2 linked regions of the Oryza sativa Japonica Group genome follow. Each later gene encodes a partner of the first gene's protein in a complex. Links are inferred from orthologs where the notes say so. Each region holds a gene or a part of one and is shown on either strand. Other genes may lie near its edges. The genes, in order: carbon catabolite repressor protein 4 homolog 4 and probable CCR4-associated factor 1 homolog 11.

Region 1 (4,313 bases):
AACTGAGTAACTCTTGAAAGAATATACTTTGCTTGAGCCAATTTTACATCAATCCATTCAGGATCCCTACAAAATCAGAATAGTATGAACAGGGGATCCAATACAGATATACAAAATAAAACAGACAGATGGCTTAAAAAACATCTTCAAAACGAGAATAATAGAGAACTCTGGCCATTTTACTTGCCAATAAATATGTGTGTTCGCCATAATTAAAATATGATCACAAGGATCATTAAGCTTGAAAGCGGCAAGTAAACCAACACAGTCACGTTTCAATCTGAAACGTGGATCATTTGGATCTCCATGCTTGTTATTATCCACCTTCTTGCTTGCTTCTGAAAGAGCATAATACTGAATTAACCCAATTAACTTAGGTAGAGCATCATACTAGCCACAGATACAGCAGACATAAAATAAGTACGGAATGCAATTGGACAAATCTATGTCCTAGCTAGAATATGATTAATGATAAAGGTCCAAAGGTAGAATCATAATAGTGGAGGCCCAAAGAATTTGTACTTCATGAGTTTGGATGTGGAGTTTGAATATTTGTCTACTTTCTTTGTTTTCAAGATATGACAGAATAGTTTGTATGTTGTAACTTGTAAGTAGTTTGTTTAGCCTGGCTCACTACTTTACCTTTTGTCGCCTCCAATGAAAGAAGTCATTATGATTCACAGGATAATATCAAGTTGAGCAGCTGATCCATTACCTTCTGTTGGTGAAGAATTATTTGATGTATCACTATTTACATGATCAGTATGAACATATTTTTCCACTAAATCATTGTAATGTAGTACTTCCTTCTGGACCAGTTCCATGCTGTAAAAGTAAGAATAGCCCAAAAGGGGGATATTGAGAAGTTAATTTGCAAGTCAATCGAAACATTCATGCATACTATAATTTCCATTCTTGTCTTCTCATTGTTAATCATCACTTATTTGAAACAATATGGATACCTTTTTGGTTTATAGAATATGCCACATCCATCCCGTTTGTCCCCAGATCGTTGAATGTAAATACTTGAATATCCAGAATTCTCCATGTTTTTCTTGTAGAAGGTATCATACTCATCCAACTCCTGAGCAAACCACATATTAAAAATAAGCAGACAAAAATGTTCCAAAGAACGAAAAAAGCAGACAAAAATATTCCAAAGAAGAAAAAAAAGGGTCAAAAGTACACATTAATATAGGTCATGACTAAATATTGAAACAATACAATCATATGTAATATGTAACCCTCCCAATATTTATTTCTGAATGAGTAGAACACTAATTAATTTGTGTTGGGCATAATGGAGGAAGACTACATAATTTTTTTGAGAAACAGTAATAGCCAAAACTTTCTACTATCCACCATTGTGTTGTGTTTTGGCACTAGGAACCTTGTGTATCAGGTTCCAATCTGTCACGTTGAGAACTTGGGATTAATGCTCCCTTTATCCTAGGATCCAATCAATGTTGCAGTTTTTTCTTGGAGGGTATTTTTCAATCCACTAAATACAAACTTGGGGAATGTTACATAAACCATATATAGAACCAAATAAGGATATAATATGATTTAAAAACGTTCACATTCTATATTTATCAATGACAAGTACATGACCACATGAAAAAAATGAGTTGCTTAAAAAGTCATAAGTCTGTCCAACCTGTATGCACATGAGGTCAGCTTCGAAGCTCTTGAGTTCTGATAGAACAGCTTTAGACCGAGTTTTCCACCTGTTTCTCAAACATGAGGGGAAGCATACAGTCCACAAATGAATGATTGAAGAGCAGGGACTAGAACAGAAATGGAAAATTGTTTACAGTCACAAAACGAAACTAGCACACTGATGCACCAATCCTTTGATAGTTTTATACTTTGTTCTTGGGCTGGGTCTACTCATGGTGAGAACTGAGAATGGAACTCAAGTTTGTCCGAAAATATAAATGTACAAACATCATATCGTAAAGCTTACTGTTGACAAATAAATCTATTCGTACAACCTGAATGCTACTAAGGCTGCGCTCATTGCTGCTAGTTGGGAACCAATGTGCAATGCACACAAAACATAGTATTTATGTAATGTCTTTCTTTCATAGTAAATTATTTGGCATTCACCGCAGTGTGTTGCCACTGCTCTAATGCTTAGTAGAATCACTAAAGTGGTCGCAAGAAAATATTGAAACCCAAAAGAATTCTAGGAAGAAGCTTGTCAGTCAAGAGCTTACTTGAGACAGGCAGATGGAGAATGCGGGAAAAACGCACTCTTCACATAAACCTGCAACACAGATCAAATAGTTAGATGCAGCTAGTTTTCTTTCCTCTGTGAATACTGTAATCCACTCATCGTCACCAAAGAAAATACCGAACCATAAGCAGCTCAACAGAACAAAACAGCATATTGCCAGCCTACCTGGGCCAAGATGTTGTAGGAAACCAGCCGGAACTGGTACCCAGCTGCCCCTGTAACCCAAACACTAAAACAGTTTTAATACAAATTACCCTGGGCCTGCGCGATTTGCAAGTAATACTAGCAATCAACCACCAATCAAAATCGTATTACTCGCTTCTTAAGATTGACCAAGAAAAGAAAAAACACAACCTGCATCGGATTCGGATTGCGCCGTGGGGAGAGGGGCGAAACTGGGCTGCGCCTGGGTGCTCATCCGCCGCTTGCAAATTCTGACTCGTCGGTGTCACGATCCATTAGAACAGTAGAAAGGGGGGGAAGGGGTTTGGAATCGGGGATCAGCGTGTGCTTACGGGACGAAGGGGAGACGGGGGCCGCAGGGAGGAGGGGAGCTGGGGCGGGGACGGAGGCGGAAGAGAGGGAGGGAAGCTTGGAGCTTTAGCATCGGCGGATTCGTTGGGCTCTCCGGCGCCGGAACACGCGCATCTGGCCGCGAGGAGATGGTCGCGCCGCCGCCGCCGCCGCCGACGGCTGTACGGCTGTGGCTCCACCGCTCAAGCGTTTTGATTCAAACCTGATAACTGGGCCCGATCTGTCGGTGAGAAGCGCCGGTGTACAGTATATTTGAAGTAATACCCTTTTCTTTTCTTTTTTTTTCCTTTTCCTTTTCAGAGATGGCCACGGATGGGATAAGAAAAGGGATTTCAGCCAAATTATGTTTTCGTCGGCACTTTTAACTCTAGTCGGATTGGAATGTGCTTGCTACCACCATAAGTTATCGAGTCAGTCAGGACACATTATAAACAGGTAATGAATTATTCATGCTGCGTTTTCAAAAGGGTGATTTTTAAAAAACTTTTTATACATAAGTAATATTCCCTCCGTTACTAAATATTTGACATCGTTGACTTTTTCAAATATGTTGACCGTTTGTCTTATTAAAAAATTTAAGTAATTATTAATTCTTTTTCTATTATCTAATTCATTGTTAAATATACTTATATGTAGACATATTGTTTTACATATTTTACAGAAGTTTTTAATAAGACGAATAGTCAAACATGTGCTTAAAATTTAACTGTGTCAAATATTTAGAAATGGAGGGAGTAGTATTTAACTCATCCATACAAATAATTTCCCTTTTCCCTTTGACTATTATCTATTTATCACTCAGTTAAACTGTGATGTTAGTAATTTAGGACACGATTGTTTCGATTTACATTAAGCTTTGTCAATGATTTTGTTTTGTAGTATACAACGTATGAGATTTTGAGCCGAAAGTTTAATTTACAGTATAAGTATATCCAGACAAACACATAACTTTGTTATGTCAAAGGGTATCACTTTTTGTTTTGGATTTTGACATGGGCAATGGTGGATCCTAATGTTCTTTTTCTTAAACTCGAGAAACCTTAATAATGGATAACCAGTTCCACTGGCTGTGTTCGACCGTTTGGGTTTCCAACTCATCTCTCTCGTATTCCACAAACATATTTTTTAAATTGCTAAATAATTTTTTTTTACAAAAAGTTTCTTGTTTTAAAAAATAATATTAATCCATTTTTTTAAAAAAAGTAATTACTTAATTAATCATAAGAAAATGTGCCGCTTTGTTCTTAACCTCACCTCCCGAACACAGCCTAAGAGCAAGTACTCTAATGCTTAATATGTTGCCCCTAAAAATACTATATATGATTAGATATGAGGTGGAAAAAATAAGTGAAGAAAGAGAAGGTGAGTCACCCCTCATGCAAGGGGCAACCTCCCCACAATGACACAAACCCCAAGGAGATGAAAGAAAGAGGGGATTAGACAAACAAATAAAATAAAATTATTTGGGTTAGTATGCTGGAGGTAGTGTAGATGTGGTGTGTTGTTTATATCACCTCCTATCTTATAGGGATAAAATTAG
Region 2 (3,338 bases), on another chromosome or scaffold:
AAGTGTTTCGCATGGACGGTCAAGTCAATTCCGGAGGCCTGCAGCGGCATCTGCCCCCCCCCCCCCCCCCCCCCCCAATCCCATTCGATTCTCTTCAGCCGCCGCCGCACCGCAGCTCGCCCCGCGCCGCTGGCTAGGAAAAAACAAAAAAACGAGTCGGCTCACCTCACACGCACGGCGCACGGGCCGGGCAGCGTGTGGCCCGCGACGACCGCGACCGCGAAAGCAGCAACCTGCGGATGGAGCAGCGGCTAGCGCTTGGCGTGAGACAGCGGCGAGGTTCCCTTCCCTCCCTCGTCCCAGTTGCGGTTTTGGTTTTCCAGCAAAGCACAGCACAGCTGCACGTACAGGTACAGGGATGGGGGAAGAAAAACGTGTACTAGATGGCCACCGCCAAAGTGAGAGCGACGGTGCGGTGCCTGCACACTAGTGTACGGCCTACCGGACTACCGGTGGACTACCGAACGCACGCATACGGGAGGGAGGAGTCGGGGACCGGGTCGTTGCTGCTCCTCGGTCGGTCAGCCTCAGCCTCATGAGTGATGATGACTAGTCTACTGGAGTAGTACTAGTGGCCTCGCCAAGCTCCATTGGTTTTGTTTTGCAACTTCACCACGTCGGCAATTACCGCAACAAGCCGACCTAACGGAGGGGGTGGGAACATGTATGCACCGAACCTGGTGCATGTCCACGTTCAGCGTACTACCTCTCAACTTGGAGCATCTCTGCTTATTAGTGCTCTGTTTTGGCCGGGGTGCACTGCACCCAAATACCAACTAGCACCACCAGAAATGTGTCCTCCCTATACTTTATACTCTACCAGCCGACTAGAGTATACTAGCACTACTCCTACTTTATCCGTTTCACAATATAGACAATGCTAGAAAGTCTTACATTATAAAACATAGGGATTATATAATTATAAATGAAAAAAATTACTAATAAAATATTAGTACAGAATTCCGAATGCGTACGTACGGTATCGCACATCCGCTGCAGCAGCTGCGGAATTAAACAAACCGGGAATGCGTCCACCTCCCTTGAACTCAATCCAAATAAATAATAATAAAAAAGAAACCCACAATTCCGGGCAGATGCCTCTGTGTCTGCAACACGGTCAATCCACGCGCGCCCCTAACCCCAATCATTAACCCCGTATGTTAACGCACGCCATAAACGCAGACGCACGGCCACCGTCCGTTCCTCTATGCGCACAAATCTCAAAGCTCCCCACGCCGCTTTCCCCTCACGCTCCTGCCGCCTTCCGCGAATGGATGCGCCGGTGGACTCCTATAAAACGCAAGCTCTCACTCGCCGCAGTCCAAACAGGCAAACGCACTCGCATCTCCAATTCGGTCCGAATTTTTCCAAATTCCAATTGCTCATCGCGCTTCGAATTCGTTGCCGAGATCCATCCAATCTTTGAGTTAAGACATGCCGTCAGAGTTCGTCGCCGCCAGGAAGAAGCCGCCGCCGGAGTTGTTGTTCGCCGCCGGTCGGAAGAAGCAGCAGCCGCCGCCGCCTGGCATGGCGTTCGTGCCGTCGGAGTTCGCCGCCGCCGGCGTTGGCAGGAAGAGGCAGCCTGCGCCGCCGGTGGAGATACGCCGGGTGTGGGCGCACAACGTGGAGGAGGAATTCCGGATCATCCGCAACGCGATCGATCACTTCCCGTACGTGTCCATGGACACGGAGTTTCCCGGCGTGATCCACCGCCCGACCAAGCACCCCGCCCTGCTCACCGCCGGCGACCGGTACGACCTCCTCCGCCGCAACGTGGACGCGCTCCACCTCATCCAGGTGGGCATCACCCTCGCCGCGTCCCCCACCGCGGCGCCCGCGCTCGCCTTCGAGATCAACCTCTCCGACTTCGACCAGCGCGTCCACCGCCACGCCGCCGAGTCCGTCCAGCTGCTGGCGGAGCACGGCGTGGACCTCGCCGCGCACCGCAGGCACGGCGTCAGGGCGAGCGCGCTGGCGCCGCTGCTCATGTCGTCGGGCCTCGTCTGCTCCCACGGCGCCGTCAAGTGGGTCACCTTCCACTCCGCCTACGACTTCGCCTACCTGGTCAAGCTCCTCATGGGGCGGAAGCTGCCGAGGTCCATGGCCGAGTTCCTGAACCTGGTGCGCGTCTTCTTCGGCGACGAGGTGTACGACGTGAAGCACATGATGCGGCACTGCGGCGGCGAGCTGTACGGCGGGCTGGAGCGCGTGGCGGCGGCGCTGCAGGTGAAGCGCGCGGCGGGGCGGTGCCACCAGGCCGCCTCCGACAGCTTGCTCACCTGGGACGTCTTCCGGCGGATGCGGGAGCTCTACTTCCTCAAGCATGGCGTCGAGGCCTACCAAGGCGTGCTCTTCGGCCTGGAGCTCGACATGGACATGCCCAGCAACAAAACACCCTCGCTGCCGCTGGTGGCAGCGAGATGATACGATCTCCTCTCCTCCGCTGTAAAATTTGTTGATTCGTCGTCTGCAAGAAAGGATTTCTTTCGGCAGATGTACAGTAATAATAAGAGGGAAAAAAAGATGGTTTAATTGATTGGTTAAATTCGGTTGATTTTCTCGTGTGGTGGTTTAAACTTTCACCGTTAAAAAATTGGGCGGCTTCCCCTGTTGTTTGTCATGATGAAACGGCTATAGAGAAAAACGCGTCGTATGAACAAAAAGGCAAAAAAGGCCATGCGCACCGTGTGCAGCGCAGCGAATCGCGTCGCATGTTGGGAGTCAAACGAGCAGCGCGTGTCATTCGGTCAAAGTGCATACTAGTGTACTATGGTCGGCCGGGTTTAGTTCCAAATTTTTCAACAAGTTTTTAACTTTTTCATCGTATCAAAATTTTCCTATATAAAATTTTTTAATTTTTTCATCACATCGTTTCAATTTCAATTAAATTTTTAATTTTAGCGTGAACTAAACACACCTATGCATGAAGAAGGAAAAAAAAAAGGCTACAGTAGTCCTGAACTTATGATGAATGAAACGGTGAGATTGACTCGTTTTAAGGTCAGACGATGAGTGTGAGTTCAGGGTGCTAGTTCATGCGTGGCATGCTAGTTTCGTTCAGTTAGCCGACCGGTCAATGAGAGAAACAGTCAAACAAATCTGCATTATACTACTAGTTTTCTAGTCCATTTTGTTTCGTCGATTACACCGTGGCTACTAGTTTATTCAGGACAGGTGCTTGACAGTTGCGCCGGAAATGCAGGGGGGATAAGGTTTTAGATTAATCCTGAAATGAAGGTGAAGGATGAACTGTCAGGATGCACTTATCTCCATTCTTTTGCAGACTTTCTGCATAATTTTCCGCCCCTGTTTAAGAAAATGAAACATCATTCTCAAAC

Evidence for each region.
Region 2: carbon catabolite repressor protein 4 homolog 4 (region 1) and probable CCR4-associated factor 1 homolog 11 share a complex: the UniProt entries of both Arabidopsis thaliana proteins name them as parts of the CCR4-NOT complex. The link is inferred for Oryza sativa Japonica Group from reciprocal best matches to the Arabidopsis thaliana genes AT1G31500 and CAF1b.

The regions. Positions count from the first base shown.
Region 1 is NC_089039.1:18,948,397-18,952,709, forward strand, and holds the start of carbon catabolite repressor protein 4 homolog 4, read right to left. Parts: upstream 2,999-4,313; 5' UTR 2,847-2,998; coding exon 2,755-2,846; intron 2,674-2,754; coding exon 2,594-2,673; intron 2,455-2,593; coding exon 2,405-2,454; intron 2,270-2,404; coding exon 2,220-2,269; intron 1,728-2,219; coding exon 1,658-1,727; intron 1,085-1,657; coding exon 963-1,084; intron 826-962; coding exon 716-825; intron 339-715; coding exon 188-338; intron 67-187; coding exon 1-66. UniProt on the Arabidopsis thaliana protein: Acts as a catalytic component of the CCR4-NOT core complex, which in the nucleus seems to be a general transcription factor, and in the cytoplasm the major mRNA deadenylase involved in mRNA turnover.
Region 2 is NC_089038.1:35,499,371-35,502,708, forward strand, and holds probable CCR4-associated factor 1 homolog 11, read left to right. Parts: upstream 1-1,323; 5' UTR 1,324-1,434; coding exon 1,435-2,424; 3' UTR 2,425-2,545; downstream 2,546-3,338. UniProt on the Arabidopsis thaliana protein: Ubiquitous transcription factor required for a diverse set of processes. It is a component of the CCR4 complex involved in the control of gene expression.